2 linked regions of the Lytechinus pictus genome follow. The protein of the gene in region 2 purifies or fractionates together with the protein of the main gene of each other region. This does not show direct contact. Links are inferred from orthologs where the notes say so. Each region holds a gene or a part of one and is shown on either strand. Other genes may lie near its edges.

The links.
Region 1: the proteins of ubiquitin conjugation factor E4 A-like (region 2) and UBX domain-containing protein 4-like purify together in Homo sapiens (affinity purification with mass spectrometry; 3 studies listed by BioGRID and IntAct, counting the BioPlex papers as one, with this or other methods). This does not show direct contact. The link is inferred for Lytechinus pictus from reciprocal best matches to the Homo sapiens genes UBE4A and UBXN4.

What each region holds. Positions count from the first base shown.
Region 1 is NC_087247.1:7,110,656-7,120,515, reverse strand, and holds the start of UBX domain-containing protein 4-like, read right to left. Parts: upstream 4,309-9,860; 5' UTR 4,172-4,308; coding exon 4,090-4,171; intron 1,307-4,089; coding exon 1,201-1,306; intron 304-1,200; coding exon 275-303; intron 1-274. UniProt on the Homo sapiens protein: Involved in endoplasmic reticulum-associated protein degradation (ERAD). Acts as a platform to recruit both UBQLN1 and VCP to the ER during ERAD.
Region 2 is NC_087252.1:12,359,970-12,369,584, reverse strand, and holds the start of ubiquitin conjugation factor E4 A-like, read right to left. Parts: upstream 3,777-9,615; 5' UTR 3,683-3,776; intron 1-3,682.

The sequences.
Region 1 (9,860 bases), on a different chromosome or scaffold from region 2:
TAGCCACTTCAGTTCTGAAAACTGTTCTACCAGCGGGCCCTGCTTAACATGATAATGTTATTATTACCCCACCTTTAACATGGCGCTCGAGCATTCAGGAAATTATATTCAAGAAAACAACTCCAAATTTGTAAACTGGAATGAATGTGATACAAACATCCTGATGACTGATAATATAAATTATTCATTGACTTCCATCATTACAATGTGTAGATTTATTGCAAATTTTTACAGAAGGTCAACATAAAATTATAGATGATAAATCAAAGGATACAATATACAGAAAACTGCTTGCACTCTTCACTGCAAAGAAAAAGAGAGAGAGATGAATGTTCAACGTCAAATAGAAACATTATTTCATCACAACCATGCCTGACAACAATTACAGGAGGAAAAAAATGAGAAAGAAAAGTTTAAAACTAAAAAGTATTGAAATCCATTTGCATCATTTTGGAGACCTGTTTGAATTTTGCAAGGATCATAGTCATTGGTTTTGTAACATTTATGAGAGACAGGAGCTTCTAACCAGACTAAGTTGCATATTACAAGGAAGCAACACTACAGCCAGATGTTAGTGCTTGCAAGCGATGTCTGGATACCCCTTTCTGAGACTGACCTTTAAAAAGATTTTTGTCAATAGGGCTATCTATAGTTTAACCATAGAATTAGACCCTTATTTGAGTTAACACCAGAGTTTACAATACAGGCATAATACTGGACAGGGACAAAATCCCTCGACCCTGTTACAAGTGAACAATCAATTTCACATCCTATAGATACATGTAGTGTGAAATGCAGAAACTGGAAAAAACAAATTGAGTCCAGTTGACATATTTTTACCCAGTACATCACCTAATCTACCTTGATGGTTGAGAACATTCTTAGACATAACTAAATTGTTGCTAGAGTACTTTTAATGGTATCCTGATCAGTTATGTGTTTGGATCTAGCCTGCTTTCCTTCCATGAAGTCTTTGTCTGCAAGTCTTACATATATACATTGACACACTACATGTAAGATCTTCATGAATCATTTGCCTCAGTTTTCTAATTCTCATGAAAATCTGTAATGATCTCAAATGACTAATGACTTGGACAATTCACAAAGTGAAAAGAGAATGAAGAAAAATGGGCATCGGATGGACAAAAAGGTTGGTTATTTCACGGAATTGCCCCTTTTAAAATGTAAATTGATTCCTACCTATCTGCTTGGAATCGCATGACAACGATCCCTGATTCTTGGCAAGTTTTGTTGACTGCATCCTCCTCCCATGTAGCATCCATCTTCTGGGAATCCTCATTTGACCCTGGTAAATTAAAATGACAAAAGTTTGGTACAAATATGAAAACCATGTTAAATACAGAAAGACAACATGTACTGTTGGTGAAGTGATGCATCAAACTATCATCACCAAGGTTGCTTTCTAGGATGGTGAGAAAACTTCACCCATGTCAGAAACAATTGTGCCATCAGGCCAGTATCACCAACCAGACAATTGAAACATTGCCCTTACTCAGCAAATGATGTGTCCTACATGTACTCTGCCGATGAACGTTACCAATACTTGGTATTAAAAGGAAGTTTCTAATATATTTGTACTTGGTATCATTCCATTTTTAAAGTGGGGTGATATTAGTGTTATCAAATTGAAGAGGGTTGGCATCTTAACATAGCTCTGTTAATGCACAGAGGCTTCAAGACTGCAGCTGAGTCAATGAACTTATGCGCTGGATCAATGCGAGTCTGCCCATGCTCAACATGGTTGTATACTAATTATATTGGATATTTCAAATCAGCAAAATACAATTTACTACTCATTACTTCGCACTTCCAGAAGTGCGAAGCGTACTTAGCACTTCCAGAAGTGCGTTATTCGTGAAGATCTTACTAAAATGAAGAAATTTCAGGAGGAAAATATTTCACATATTTTGAAGGATTTATAGATTCTTTCATCCCATATAAAGATTTGGAGCAGGGTAAGAATTAAGTTTGCTTTAGCAAAATTTAGAATGTTAAAAACCAACGATTAACAAAAACGTATGAAGGTTCAAGAACAGAGTAAATTTACTGTGGACTGCCCGTCAAATGAGTCTTAAGGGGGGGGGGGGGCCCACTTACATTGACGAGTGGATACCATGTGCAACCCCCAAAAACTTGTAAAAAGGATGTCTTTTTCAAGATACTGTAGGGCACGTTGTCGTTACGTACATAACGTAATAAGGGTGTCAAAACGCTAAAATAATGAAAAAAAAGGTTGCTTGGAAAGCTACGTGTTTAGGGTCAAATTCGCGAGGGTATAAAAAAGACTAAAATGTTTTATTTTTGCCCCGTCAACACTACGTGTTTAGAGTCTGATTTACGCGAGGTGTGGGAGGTTGGGCCGTATACCCAATGTAGGTAAAGGTAAAACCAACGACAGACGTCCGTGACATAACTAAAATATCGCTGTACTTGTTTAGAGGTTTTATTCAGGGAATACTTGCCAAGGGTATCGTTTTGTTTCCATTACTTGTTAAGGGTAGTGTTTCAGTCACACGCCAATACTTGTTAAGGGGTGCATTTTCAGAATATGGAAAATACTTGTTTAGGGTACTTTACGAGACCCCATGGTCGCGCATGGTATCCACCCGTCAATGGAAGTGCCCCCCCCCCCTCCCCGGAGTCTTAAAGAACAACTAAGAAATCTTTGTCAAAAATTGGTGAATCAGAACATCAGAAGTTTCGTCCTACCGGTAACTTTCGATGCTGATAACAAAATTGCAAATACATTGTTTGTCCAGATACAACGACTATATCTAGATCATTTACAATTTGCTGTTTTGATTCATGAATTTTTAACAAAAACATATTTGTTGACTTTGTTCTTTGTCTTGACGGGCAATAGACAACCCATTTACTCTGGTCTTGAAGATCATGTATGAGGCTATGTTGCTGATGTTTGCCTACTAAGTACTAACAAACCCGCATGCACCTTTGTCATTGACATGGCGCTAATGAAATTTCGTGCCGGCCAAATTTCCCCTCTAGTACATTTTGTAATGGTTCGCAAATGTCACAGCAAGTCTCTCAATCAATTCAAGGTCAATATACGTATCGCTTTTCAGAATATTGCGATCGGTTGGATCTCAAGGTCATTGTTGAATTCTAATTCAGACATTGCTTTGCTTGGCAATGCTTGGTTTTCCCTTAATTTTGATATGGAATGAAATTAGCAACCAAATGATTAGACAGGAATAACCGTCGTTTCTGGGGATTTATTCAACAATTTCTGACATTTTACTATAATCCCCATACTATGTATTGGTGAGTGAGCCAACGCAGTTCAGCGGAACAACCAAAATACAGAGACTGAAGCTTTTGGTCTACCAAATGATCTGCCTGTGGCAGCTGTTTGTTCACGTTCATATTTTGGTCGCTAACTTAAGCGAAATATCAAAATAATGGTGAATCAAACTCTAAGCAACGTGATGTCTGAGATTACATCGAGATCGATCAATCAAAGCTGATCATTCCTGATCGCGATAGGCCTAGATCTATTCGGAAAAGCGAACAATACTGGTGGGGAAATTCTCTCAAAAGTCAAAGTCAGCCATGGCAAAACTGCATTACCGGCAATTTATCGCCATTGACATTAGATCCACTTGTTAACGTTAGACCCCTATTTTATTTTTCTACAATCAAACAATCTTTTGTCTTTGAAGTTTGACTTTGGTGAGTTTCAAATTTACCAAAAAAAGGGCAATGCAGATTGCAGTTTTGCTCAATTGACTTGACTCTTGAGATACAATTTCACAATTTTCATTTCGATTTTTCATATTATCTACACATCTTGTAAAATAATGAGAATGAAATCATACAGGGAACAATTTGGAATGTCCACAATTTCATGATTTTGTATGTCTATAGATCTAAGACTAAATTGAAGGAAGTCACAGCACGAGGAGCTCTGCCATGCACATCCACGATCCACATCACAGCGGAATGCCGCCGCGCCCTGGAGCTGGCGACACCGGGTAGCTCCGGTAGCTCACGGGTTGCAACCCCCGCATGCAGGGATGACATTGCGAAAACAATACTGCGCGAGTTTACCTCGAATGTATACCATAAATACACTTTTCTGCTGCCTGGCCTGGGCAATAGCACTAGAAATCTGTCCTTCAAACCACTTCATTGTAGTTTCCACTCCTATTTGTGCTTGAGAAAAGTTAGAATAACGTTCAATACCGGTACTTGAAATAAGAAATAACCTCGGAAATTTTCTCAAAAAATATCGACTGTCGACACGTAAATGTTAGGCTCATTTCAGCCGTTTATATTAATTTTCTGATTCGACCACAGCTGGCTAGAGTGCACCACTCCCCTTATACCCCTTCTTTCAGATTCTCATATCTCACACATTGATTTCTGTTTTGTAAGTCACGATTGCGGGGTATATGATCTAACTGGTGTGATGAATCGGAGGCTGAAGTTGACGATGTTGTGATATATTAGCCGGGAAATTGATGAGATCAGTTTTGGTCCCGGGTTTTGGTTTCTTGAGCAAATTTTATTAATTATTAACTTGAAATTCAATGCATGAGTGAACATAATATATTGCAATTTAGTGCAGCATTTTAACTGTTTCATGTCATCAGCTTTCAATAGGGGGTAAAATAAGGACTTCGGTCATTTAAGTAGGTTGATGGCATGAGTGAACCATGCACTGGCCTCCATGGCCTCTATACCAGGGGCGTCGATCCATTTTTCAGATTGCATGGGGGGGCAAAATCATGAATCAAATTTCCAAAGGCGCTCGATCACACAAAACAAACTCACACACACACACACACATATGCCTATATATATATATATATATATATATATGACTCATGAGATATCTCATCAACAAATTAATGCGAGCGCGAAGCGCGAGCTGAAATTTTTTAGTATACTGACCTGATAACAGGAAAAAGGTGCCTGTTTAGGACTCTTTGTAGTAGTAACTCCTGAGGAGAATACATATCTTAATACACAAATAATGCGAGTGCCGAGAGCGAGCTGAAATTTCTTTATATTCTGACCTGAAAGCTTGATATTCTAAGCATTTTTGGTACCAATGATTAAGATGGGTATCTAAAAAAAAAGCAAAAGATGCGAGCGCGAGCTGAAAATTTTGATATTTCGATCTGAAAAAAAAATTGAGTTTAGTGGACGTTTTTAATACAGAACAAGATATATATTCAACAAAAGATTATTGCATATCGAAGCGTTAGTTCTTTTGAGGTTTAGACCTGAAAGCGGGACATTCTATTTACCTATTTAATCATTGAAAAGTATGAGTTTTTGCTACAGAAATGATGCGAGCGCGAAGCGCGAGCTGAAAATTTTTATATTCCACTCTGAAAAGCTGACATTTTGAGCACGATTTTAAATAAAGAACGAGTTGTGTATCTCAATCTCGCTTGCTGATTTCTGTGTAATATTACAATCTTATTTTATTTTTTGCACATGCAGAATTATTGGGGGGGGGGGCAAAACGATATGTTTGCCCCCCAATATTTTCATTGGTGGGGCGATCGCCCCCCCTGCCCCCCCCCCCCCCCCATGATCGACGCCTCTGCTCTATACTCGTGGACTGAACATGAAATTGATGAAAATGCATTTAAGTGTCGGATTTTAACTTTATCATGAGGATCTCAGCAGTGTGTTCGTGAGAACGGCGTACGTGACTGAGAGTCAGGAGAATGTGATATATGTCGACATATGTTGCATGCAACTGATGCAAGGGGCAAGATATTCGGGGGTAAGACTGGTTAAACGGACATTCTAAATCTTCGTGTTTAAACCCCCACCTCCACCTCCATGCACCCCCCCTCTCCTCTCCCTGTCTCAGTTCCTGGCTGGTGTTCAAATCTTTACTGCTCAAGTGACCGATGGTTGATGGGTCATTTTTTTATTTAAGAAGTTGATCTTATTAAAAATAATTTATTGAAAATGTTGAACGATGAGTGAATGTTTGATCAGATAAATTGTTGATTAAATGATTGATAGATTAGAGTTGATGCCCTAATTTTCAGAAATATAACAGCCCGTTCTGAATTTCATATGCGTTCATCAGTCTCCAGCAGGAAGAGAGAGAGAGGGGGGAGGGGGGGCTAAATGTTCTGTTGACTCTTATCACGGAAACCTAATTCACCCACTCCCATGAACACACTGCTGAGATCCACATGATAAAGTTGAAATAAACATAAACATAAACTTTGCAATTCATATTTATGAAATTTGCTCAACAAGCAAAACTGCTCACGAGTTAATTTTTCACAACACCCTCAACTTTGCAAGTTGAAAAGGACTCGAATTTCAAAGACTGAAATAAATTGGAAGGCTAATTTCTGTCCAGTTTTAACCCTTTATTTAAGTGGGCATGCAGTGCTCACTCAAGCATGAATAGTTTTCCAAATTTTTGGTGTCATTTGAAACTTGACTTTATTGGCTTTCTATTATATAGATCCCCCAGTGATTTTTTTATTTGGCAGCCATTTCAAAAGTGTATAATGTATAGACGCACTGTTATGCTATACTTTTTTTAAGCATCCTATTAATACTCCTGCTGTTTAAAGTGTTCCAAAATAACAAAGGAAGAAGAAGAAGAAGAAGGAGAAGAAGAAGAATTAAGAAGAAGAAGAAGAAGAAGAAGAAATGCATAAAAGAAGATCGAAGAACTAGAAGAAGAAGAAAAATATGATTATGATTGCACCTATTGTATAGATGACAATCAAACAAAGGTATTATTAGGATTACAACAACAACAACAACAGCTGCAAGAACAAACAAGAACAACAATAATGATGATGATGAATGATAATTATAATAATAGTTTTGCTTTAGTGATAATAATAATAATAATAATGATGATGATGATGATGATAATAGATTTTAGATTTTAGATTTAGATTTTATTTCCGTTCAACAATTTTTTCAAAATATAATCAAAGTAACAATACATATTCAATATAATCGATAATACAGACAAATCAATGAAATTTCGTAACAAATGTTGAATATAAATTAAACAAAACTACAATTTGTTGCAGTAATATTATCAATGAAAAGAAACAAGAAATGAACGGAGGGACTTGCCAAGAAAAGCAAAAGCTTGTAGAGAAGGCAAGCCCCTAAACTTAGTTTCAATACTAATTATAAACAAACTATATATACAACTCTATACAAAAATCGAGACGGACACAGAAGACAACTTAAAACAAGTAATCCACAAATATAAAAATAAAACGAATAAGCGACAACAAAAATAATAGAAAGTAATTCAAATAATAATAATTACAGTGGTAACACAAAAAAAAGTACTTACAAAATCATAATAGGGAGGGAAAAGTGGCAAAGGAAAGAAAGAGGGAGATAAGGGAGGTGCAAATAAAAAGTGCAAATGAAAAGAGGAACATGGCAGGTGCACAGGTCGTAATGTATTGTATCATGTTGTAGTGTTTTTTTTTTTTTTTTATAAGTAAAGTTTAACAAATTTATTGGCAGTTAAAGGTTAAGTTATTATGTAGTTTTAGTTTAGGTTATGTGTTAACTTGACTTGTTGGTGTGGAGTATTGACAAATGAGCATCTTTTTAAGTTTGCGTTTAAAAATATTAAGGTTTGTAGATTCTTTAAAGTCGTTGGGCAGGGAATTCCAATACACAGGTCCAAAAAAGATAAAAGAGTTTTTCGCTAATATAGTACGGGTAGGGGGTAGGTGATAACAATTACGTTGTCTCGTTGGGTAATCGTGTATAGAGGAGTTTTTACAGAACATATTTGAAAAAAATTGTTGGGAGATCATCTTTGTTTAGTTTATACATAAATTGGGCGAGTTGGAAAAGATATAAATCACTCACTTTAAGAATATTATTTTGGAAGAATAGTATATCTGTGTGTGATCTGAATTGGGTTTGAAAAATTATTCTAAGAGCCTTCTTCTGCAGCAACAGTATTCTTTGTAATTGTGTTTGGATCGCGCAACCCCATGCCAAAATGCCATAATTAATGTATGGTAATATTAATGTATGATACAGTGTAAGTAAAGTGTGAGATGGGAGAAAATATTTGAGTTTGTTGATAATTCCGATGTTTCTTGAAATTGTTTTGCATGTATTATTGATGTGTGGTTTCCATGATAGCTTATTATCAATAGTAACCCCCAAAAATCTTGTCTCTGAAACATTTTCAAAGAACAGTATTATCAAAAATTATGTAATAATATTATGTAATAATAATAATAACTAAAAATAATAATAATGATAATAAAAATAATGATAGTAATGATATTGAATAATAATAACAATGATAATAATGATAATAATAATAACAACAATAATGATGATATTATTAATAATAATAAAAATAACAATAATAATGTATATATATTCACATAAAACATATTATTTTTTTCATTACTATCGTGCAGTGGGGGATAGACAGGGTCCTCCCATCCATCGGGATACCATGTGGCATGCCCGAATGCTGCATGCCCATGCAGTCCGTGCCAGTAGCGTACCGTGACTCGGAGGAGACAAAGCATTGGGGGGGCAAAGCATTGTTCACAGACAATGCAGTGCCCCCCCCCCCCCAATGCTTTGTCTCCTGCGGTTCACGGTACGCTACTGCCCACTGGGCAATTTGTTACCGATTACCAATTTTACCGGTTATTACCGGTAATATCACCCGGAAATTTGAGTAACACCAAATATTACCGTTATTACCGAAATTATAATTCCTGTTGATACCTGTTACTGTTATCACCCTGATGAAACCTACATTTACCTAGTTACAACAGGGTGATGAGGGGTAATAAGGGTAATGTTGAATGACTTTGATTGGTTATAACATTGCAAACTTTAGTAATAAGAGCAATCTTACAGCAATCCCAGCGAAATTTTCAAAGTCCAAAAAATTACTGTTATCACCCTGATGAAACCAACATTTTACCCAGTTACAAACAGGTTGATAAGGGGTAATGGGTAATGTTGAAACGCTTCCATTCCCAGACAGCAAAGTATCTGGATCACATACGGTTCTTATCTGGGATATCTGGGTCCCATATGGGCCCACATGGAACCCAAATGAAAACATATACTTGAACCCACATGGTGCCCAGATAGGACTCAGATGGAAACGAGACCTCCTACCCATGCGGAACCCATTAATATTGGGTAAATGGAGTAATATCAGATGGTAATATCAGGAAAATGCTGGGAATATTAGTTACTCATGAATATTCATTACTACAATAAATGGCCAAAATTTTAGCTAATATAGCTGTAATAATTAATGTGTTTATGTTTATGCAATTATTCCACCCAGAAAATTTTCAGAAAAATGTGTAGTTTATATATCATATTAGTCATAATCATGACATTAATTTTAGAAAAATGTTTTAGGTTTGAATAATTGTTAACCATAATTTGTCAAGTGTTGTAAACTCGCTCAATATATAGAAGTAAATGACAGGGTTTGGTGGATAGGTGTAGGATAGGATTAGGATTAGGATGTAGGATTTTAGGATAGGATAAAATGATATGGCTTAGAGTATGGAGTTGTAAAAATGTGCTTCAATTACCCTAATGACACTAATTGTTTTTTTAATGAGCCGACATTAATTGGGTAATATTGGGTAAACAGAGTAATATGAGGTGGTGATATCATTAAAATGCTGGAAATAGTAGTTACATCATACTGAGAAATATTGGGTATAAATGGAGTAATATCAGGTCCAGGTAATAAGAGGGAAGGATTGGTCTACTATTTCCCTGTTATTACCCACTGTTGTTACCGTAGTAATATCCATGTTATTACCTGTTACAACCCGGGTAATGTC
Region 2 (9,615 bases):
AAACCAAAGTTCTAACTCGATCTGTACAGGGACTCAATGGCCATATGTTAATAGTTCCAATAAACCAGGGAAGTGGGAGTTGCGCGACAGCCGATGTAATGCACCTATCAATTGTATGACGCACCCCTCGACCCCCGGGAATGGTGGGTCACTTGTCAAACGTGAGTCAGATTTTGTGGTACCATGACGCACATGTGTGTCTTAACAATGACGCACCTTTACTTACAATGACCCTGCCAAGAAAGAAAAAAAGTGACGCACCAGTTCAAGATTTTGACCAACCATGACCGTCTCCCTGACGCAACTTCGTCAGAGTAAAACGTAAGATTCGGAATAGACTCTAGCTCTGAAGCATGTGAAGTATGATGTCTTGTGTGTGTAAGTGCTGCGTGGCGCATAATAGAGCTATAATATGAATGCAATGGAATGCAATACGTGTATAGCGCTATTATCTGACGATGTTTCGTGGTGATAGCGGAGGCCGCCTTGAACTCTTATAAAAGGTAACCCTGTAACTGATCATCGGATCGGCAGCCGATTCATTTGTTTTCCTTTCTGATAATGTCGAAATATGCGTCATTTATATTTCTTCTCAGAAAACAAGGATTCATACGGAAAAGTACATAAAATATATTTTAACTAATTAGCACCTCAGCAAAAATGGTGTCCCAATCATTTAATCTTAGATGTTTGTGACTTCTATTTTCCTTTCCGAGGTGTTGAAATACTGCATCAATTATATTTCTTTTGGGAGAACTGGGGAGTGTTTCATCAACAATTTCATCTGACAGGTTGTCAGATCTGACATCTTTTTCTGATGTTGATTGGCTGAGAGGAACTGTTACTATGGTAACTGTTGGATAAAATGGGACTTGTCGGATAAAACGTCCGACAAGTCCTTTCATGAAACGCCCCCAGGAGTTCATAACGAAAGGTATATAAAATATATATTCCCTCGTTAGCGCCTAAAAACAATTTTAAAATATGTCTTGAAAGGTCGCACGCTAATATGAGATGTTGCCAACTTCTATTATGTTTTATTTACGTTTCCAACGTTGTCGAGAAAATGCGTCTTTAATATTTCTTCTGGGAGAATGAGAGTTCATAACAAAAGGTATATGAAATATATTTTAACTCGTTAGCCCCTCAAAACGATTTTAAAACATGTTCCGAACGATCGCGCATGTTGGCGACTTCTATTGCATTTTATTCTTTGCGACTTTGTGTTGTCAGGAAGATGCGTGCGAAAGACAACAAAATTTTGATAGATAGCTTTGTATTCAAATATCGGCGATTCCATTTGGATTTTAGAAGCTTAAAGGAGAATGAAACCCTTGAAACCAGCTGAATCCGTATCAAAGAGAAAAATCAAAGAAACATATTGTTGAAAGTTTGAGGAAGATTGAATGAATGATAAGAAAGTTATGAGCATTTGAATATTGAGATCACTAATGCCATGTAGATCCTCCCATTGGCAATGCGACCAAGATCTGTGATGTCACACACGTACAACTCGCTCATTACTTTAATACTTATTTCACTTATATTCTCACTTTTATAGAGTCTATCACAAGGCGAGGTGTTCTCTTTATGAGAGGACAAGTACAGAGGTTTCACAACATTATATCATTGATGAATCGTTTGTCATGTGATTAGAATGAGCAAAAAGAGATGTTTTGGGGTATATTTTCAGTGTTCAAAAGGGGAGAGTTGTTCATCTGTGACATCATAGATCTTGGTCGCATTGCCAATGGGAGGATCTCCTTAGCATTAGTGATCTCGACATTCAAATGCTCATAGCTCTTCTATTGCTAGTCCTATGTTACTCAAACTTTTGTTGATCTTATTCTTTGATATTTTTGCTTTCACAAAAGCTAACTTGCTCCAAGAGTTTCATTCTCCTTTAACTGCCGATCCAATTTCATTTTGATCCGATTTTATACAACATTTTAATACCCGTTTGTATCACTGAGGCATCATGACGCACCCAGGTAAAATGACTGACATTGACGCACCCCAATCCTCAAACTGTGATAGACCAAATGTTTCAATGACGGGGTTACACTTCGTAATTCCGAAGGTTCTTTATTCTGAAGGTTCGTAATTCCGAAACACGTAAATTGCCTATACCTCGATGTTCGTTAATCTGAAAACGTAAAAGGGTTTGTTTATCCGAACATTTGTGGCGTTATTCCGAAGGTTCGTTAATCCGAAAACGAAATAAGGTACGCTGTTCCGAAGGTTCGTAAATCCGAGAACGAAATAAGGTTCGTTGTTCCGAAGGTTCGTTAGTCCAAACACGAAATAAGGTTCATTAATCATTTCATTTTCGGACTAACGAACCTTCGGAATTACGAACCTCATTTCGTTTTCAGATTAACGAACCTTCGGAATTACAAACCTCACTTCGTTTTCAGACAAACGAACCTTCAGAATTACGAACCTCATTTCATTTTCGGACTAATGAACCTTCGGAATATCGGAACCTTCGGAATAATGAAGCTTCGGAATTACGAATGTATGTGCCATGACGGTACCCTGCGTCGCTAATCTGTTGGTAAATGACCCTACCATGACACACCATTCCCGGGGGTCGAGGGGTGCGTCTTACAATTGATAGGTCATTAGGTGCATAAGTCACTGTTGTTTTTCCTTTTAAGTTTATATTTTCCTCTTTTTGTGCATTTCAGGTCAAAACGGAATAGGGTCCTAGACCTAGACCCTAAAGGCCTAGATCTAATAATCTTTATTTTGGTCCATGTCCAGTTCTTTTTATATATTTTTATGGAATAAAGAAAAAAAAATGATGAGCCCCGTCGGGGGGATTTTGCATTGTTAATCCCCTTATGGGAGCTGCACGATCGCGAGCCGTCTGTGTACGAGAAGTAAAAATAAGAAATGTAAAAAAACTCCTCGAAACAGACGGCTGCCAGCTGTCTATGACTATGTTAGACTCTGTTCGTGCGCCTAGCCCTAGGCTTAGGCTAAGCTAGAAATGCTGTTTCACTTTCATATTTTTGGCATTTATCCTGGTTCGAGTCACCAATCCATTCACTGCCGTTTATTTCGTCAGCGCTGGTGACTTCGTTCGTTGTTGTTGTGGGTCATTTCCACACCCAAATGATCTCCTCGCCCTCGGTCAATCACACGTATTGCGAGGTTAGTATTATTATATTAGTATACGAACCCTCGGTATACTTCTTTCAACTCCCATGATTCACGTTACACAACGCGTACGCACACACCGACATTACTCATTAGTCTATTTAGAGACTACATTCACGATAAGGCCATTTTTTTTTGGGGGGGGGAGTATATTTTGACCCCTAAAATCATGCTTACGTTAGACTTAGAGTCTTGAGTCTAACGTTAATTTATATCATTGGCCTATATGTATGTATGGAACTCCAAGTCTAAGTCTCACTCTCTCACTACCAGTAGGCCCGAACAGACTAGAGGCGACACCGAGTCAGCCGTGCGAGCCGGAGCGGCGGGGACAAGAGGCGATCGCGAAATATAGCATGCGAAATCGTCGATCACCGCTTAGCTTTGCACTCGGACTCCGAGGACCGAGTCGGAGTAAAAAATTGCATTAAAAAGTCGTCTAGATTTTACTTCATTTGTTTTGCTGTTCACTCACACACACACACTCAGAATATATGATTAAAAAACATTACTTTACCAATATTATATAGTCCTAGATCTAGCTATGCCTATGTCAGCGATGAGAAAATCCGGCTTGGGATTCCACGTCGGTTTAATAGCGCTTCCGGGTTAAGTGGAATTCGAGGGGGGGGGGGGTGGATCTCTCACTGGATCACTTGATTGGGTGTCAATTTCTCGGGGGGGGGGGTTCTTTAGTAGGCTTAAAGGAGAATGAAACTCTGGGAGCAAGTTAGCTTTTGTGAAAGCAGAAAAATCAAAGAATAAGATCAACAAAAGTTTGAGTAAAATGGGACTAGCAATAAAAGAGTTATGAGCGTTTGAATGTCAAGATCACTAATGCTATGGAGATCCTAACATTGGCAATGCGACCAAGATCTATGATGTCACAGATGAACAACTCTCCCCTTTTGGACACTGAAAATATACCCCAAAACATCTCTTTTTGCTCATTCTAATTATATGACAAACGATTCATCAATGATATAATGTTGTGAAACCTCTGTACTTGTCCTCTCATAAAAAGAACACCTCACCTTGTGATAGACTCTATAAAAGTGAGAATATAAGTGAAATAAGTACTAAAGTAATGAGGGAGTTGTACGTGTGTGACATCACAGATCTTGGTCGCATTGCCAATGGGAGGATCTACATGGCATTAGTGATCTCAATATTCAAATGCTCATAACTTTCTTATTATTCATTCAATCTTCCTCAAACTTTCAACAATATGTTTCTTTGATTTTTCTTTTTGATATGGATTCAGCTGGTTTCAAGGGTTTCATTCTCCTTTAATGTATAAATATATATGTAGTAGAGAGAGTGAATAAAACTAACTGTGCTATACAGCTAGGGGCGGCGGAACGGTTTTCAAGGTGGTTGGGGGGGAGGGGGGGCTGAGTCAAAAGTGGGGGGCTGACCATGCAAAAAAATCAAAATCATATATATGGTCATTTTTACGTTTTTTTATACACGGTTTTGGAAAAAAAAGTGGGGGGCTGAAGCCACCACCAAGCCTCCCGCTTCCGCGGCCCCTGTTATAAATGCTTATCTTTTTCTCAAAATTTGAATATAAATTATATAGCTTGCCATGCAGATATGAGATCCTCACCTATAGGCTTGTATAACCGCTTGTAAGCTGTAGAGTACCGGTTTTTAGTAGGCCTATTTTGAATTTGTGATGGAGCTAATCCCGAAGCTGATTCCTTTTCGGTTCATTAACTTGTTAGTTGTTTATATTTCGCCTTACTTTAATGATTTTGTTGAAAATTTGAAGCTGAAGTGAACTGAATTCGTCATCAATCAATCGGCAATTCAATCAATCAATGAATCATTCAACCAATCAATTAATCAATCAATCAATCAATCAAAATAAACATATATAAGCTAGACTTTAGGATCCGTTTCCTAATTACTTTTTCGCCTGATCATGATAAGTCAGATCTGACAACTGAGTCGATTTATGATTTCTATTCGAGGGTTCTACACACTCATAAACCTTTGTATTTTCATGGATCCCTCCTTTTTCCCTAGCTTGTACAGTGGTTATTAAAGGCCTACACAGTGGCGTACCTAGGATTTTCCACATGGGGGGGCAAAACCGTCCACCAAAAAATTTGACAAGCAAAAAAAAAAAAAAAAAAAAAAAAAAAAAGTCTTCGATCACAAATAAAGGATTTCGTACCAGAAAAAAATTGACAAGCAAAAAAAAAAAAAAAAAAAAAAAAAAAAAAAAAAGGTCTTCAAGCTCGTCAGGGGGGCATTAAAGGTCTTAAAGCTCGTCAGGGGGGGGCAAAAAAGGTTTCTCAAGCTCGTCAGGGGGGGGGCAAAGATACGTTTTGCATGGGTTGTGACTCGTCAGGGGGGGCAGAGTGCCCCCCCCCTGCCCCCCCCCCCCCCGTAGGTACGCTAGTGGGCCTACACCAGAATTATATAAAAAGGTGTTGAAATTCCGCCATCTTTTTTTCTAAATTGAGAAGTCAGCTAGACCATTTCTGTTATACCCAACTTTATGTTCACATGGTATGTTATCATGAAAATTTAGTTTCGCACGAGAATATTGCAATATGGGAGAATAAAAAAAATGATTTTCTTGCAGTGGACCTAACCCCCTTTGCAACCAAACTCTTCTGAAGCGCTTATTTGTCAAAAGGGGTTAGGTCCATAAATAAAGTGGCAAAGTAAAATCACTGTTTTTATTCAAAAGAGATTGGATTCGTTTCAGTTTGCTTGCGAAAGGTCAGTCCACAAATAATTTTTTTTTTTAATAATTTTTTTTTAATATATTAAAAAAATTGAAGACAGGTAGATTTCTTTTATACCCAAATGTATGTTTACATGATAAGATTGTACACCATGACAACATTATTAAAGGAGAATGAAACTCTTGGAGCAAGTTAGCTTTTGTGAAAGCAGAAAAATCAAAGAATAAGATCAACAAAACTTTGAGTAAAATAGGACTAGCAATAAAAGAGTTATGAGCATTTGAATGTCGAGATCACTAATGCTATGGAGATCCTCCCATTGGTAATGCGACCAAGATCTGTGATGTCACACACGTACAACTCTCCCATTTGGACACTGAAAATATACCCCAAAACATCTCTTTTTGCTCATTCTAATCATATGACAAACGATTCATCAATGATATAATGTTGTGAAACCTCTGTACTTGTCATCTCATAAAGAGAACACCTCACCTTGTGATAGACTCTATAAAAGTGAGAATATAAGTGAAATAAGTACTAAAGTAATGAGGGAGTTGTACGTGTGTGATATCACAGATCTTGGTCGCATTGCCGTTGGGAGGATCTACATGGCACTAGTGATCTCAATATTCGAATGCTCATAACTTTCTTATTATTCATTCAATCTTCCTCAAACTTTCAACAATATGTTTCTATGATTTTTCTCTTTGATATAGATTCAGCTGGTTTTAAGGGTTTCATTCTCCTTTAAGTTTTTCATAAGAATATTGCAATAAGTGAGAATAAAAAAACATGATTTTTCTCGAAATAGTCCAAAGTGGACCTACCCCCTTTTGCAACAAAACTCTTCATATACTGAAATCAGTTTGGAGCTTTTTTTATCACAATCAAACAATAACTTTGTTTGTATGGAATTCATTTTTAAATTCTTTCTAAATGCCCAATTTATTCTATCATTTTAGTAACATATTTTTAATTTCGTTTTTAGTAAAAGGTTAAATCCATCTAGAGTACTTGAATTCCACTCACATACAGGACACATATCTACGTCACTTTCTCGTTCTCCATTTGATGTTTCATTTTCATACCATAAGAGCTGCTTATAATATGATGAACATAAAGAATACATTTAATGATGAGGTTCGCACTTAGAAGGAAATATCAAGTGTTTACATTTCCGGAAGTACACAATGAACACAACAGACCATGTATGGTATCGCTTACAGACGGGTAGTTGTGTGTTAGTTTACTTTATATCAATCTTTCATAATCAATAAGTAATGATTTGAGGTCTTAAACAGACACACTGGCTTATTATTTACTGCAGCAAGAGATTAATCATACGCTGTTCTTTCGTTTTTGCATTTACACTTGTGGCAAAATATATCCATCTCTGCCACCATCGTCATCATCACCACACCATCATCGTCGTCGGCATTATATCGTAGTCGTCACCGCTACCAGCACCACAACCTAGAAATTGAGCAGGTTAAAGGAAAGTGACCACTGTCGGTGATATGTTCTGATTGTGGGCTAGCGATTTTTTTTTTCTTCTTGAACTCAGAATTTTCGATATGCTTTTGGTGAACTCGCCTTGTCGAATAATGCGATACCCCATTGTCGTCATATCATCCTTATGGAATATAGGTAAGTTGGGAAAATAGTATATAATTAGACACAATATTCTAATGTATCACTATGAACAAAAAGCCAGAGAGTTGATTGCATTTACTGGAGTTGTGATTAATCATAAGTGACAATAATAATAGGAATAGTTTTTTTTTTTTTTGTGTGCGGGTATCACATTTCAGCGGCACTAATATATTGTCAATTTTGTTCCAAGTGGTACTTTTATCATTTATTTTTTCTTCTTTCAAATTGAAAATAATTTTTAGCTCCCCACAATGGTCATAATGGTTGTATTTTCTTTCATTCAAAACTGATGATTGAATCACATCACCGAATCAATTGTTTTCATCTCCCTCCAGCCCCCTCTCTATTTTATGTGTGTTCTCTACCCCCTCTATCTCACACACACACACACACTCACCCACACTCCCTCACACCCACACACACGCACGCACAGCCTCAGTGGACACATCCACCACACACATCTAGCTAGCCATGTTACTTATAACTCTACGATGTTATTCAAAGGACTCTGCATTTCCAACATAATTTGCATATGCTTGATTCCTACTGTGTATTATTATCATGAATAAAACATTATATTATATTCTGTCAATTTGTTTTTTTTCCATTATGCATGGTTAATAATCAAACAAACAAACATAATTTTACGCGCACTATTATATTCTGTCAATTTGTTTTTTTTTCCATTATGCATTGTTAATAATCAAACAAACAAACATAATTTTACGCGCACTATTATATTCTGTCAATTTTTTTTTCCATTATGCATGGTTAATAATCAAACAAACAAACATAATTTTAGGCGCACTATTGGCTTCCTCACACACGATTTACCCCTCTACCAATCTTGTGTCTTTCCCACATAGGCCTACACATACTATATAAATTAGTGACACAACCCCCTCCTACACAAACATGCACATCTCCCGACTTCTGGCCACTCAAAATGATGTGCCACCAACTCGCCCCTCCCCCTCTCCCGATATTTTGTCTTTTACCCCAGAGCTCTCTCCCTCTCTTATACACCAACACCCAGATTAACCGTAACGCCCCACAGCCGCATCCTTTTCCCTACAATTTGCCATTCATCCTCTCCAAACCTTTTTGTCTTTCCCTTTAATATACACTCTCACCAGTGGCGTAGCTACGGATGGGGGGCCTGGGGGGGGGGCACGTGCCCCCCAGGTGCCCCCCTGAAAAAAATTGGCGAAGCAAAAAAAAAAGGAGAAAGATGAAAAAGAAAAAAAGAAAAAGAAGGCGAAAGACAGAAAGAGAAGAAGATGAAAATAAGAGGAGGAAGACGAGTGAATATAATAATGTTGGGGGAAGACTTCTAAAAAAAATCTTTCATGCTACTAAATAAAATTTTCGCTCGCGCTTCGCGCTCGAATTGCCTGTTCGATGAGATTCACATCTTGCTCAATAAGCTGATATGGAGCTTAAAATATCAAGTTTTTGAGTCAATATTCAAAACATATTTCAGCTCGGACATCAAGCTTTCATTATTTTTTTTTCCATTTACAAATTTATTGCACTTTGTAAAATGTCGGTTAATATGGTCTACATATCAACATTTTAAGCTCACGCTGCGTGGTCGCATTATTTGATTTGCCAAGTTCCTATTGTCTTCGTGTATTCCATAAAGTTCTCGAAATATCAATTTTCAGATGTTACTGTCAAAACGCCTATAAGTTAGCGCTGCACACTCGCATTTTGATTGGCGAGTACCATATATCAGTTCTATATTATGTAAATTAGGCAAACAAAACTCCAGGCCTTTTCATTACACTTATTTAAAAAATTCAGCTCGCGATTTGCGCTCGCATTAATTGTTAAAATGTATTAACCATTGTAAGGCGTATTCATAATTACAAAATGCTTACAATTTCTAGTTTTCAAGCCTTAAAACCAACAACTTCCACGCTGTCATTACGCATATTAGATTAACAAATAAGAAAATAACATTTTCATGAATTAACTAAATTGGGTCTTTTCAGAATGGAATATCGACAAGCTTAGGAATAATAGGAAGATTGTCATCATTTTCATAATGTCAACAAGTTTTAGCTCGCGCTTCGCGCTCCCATTATTG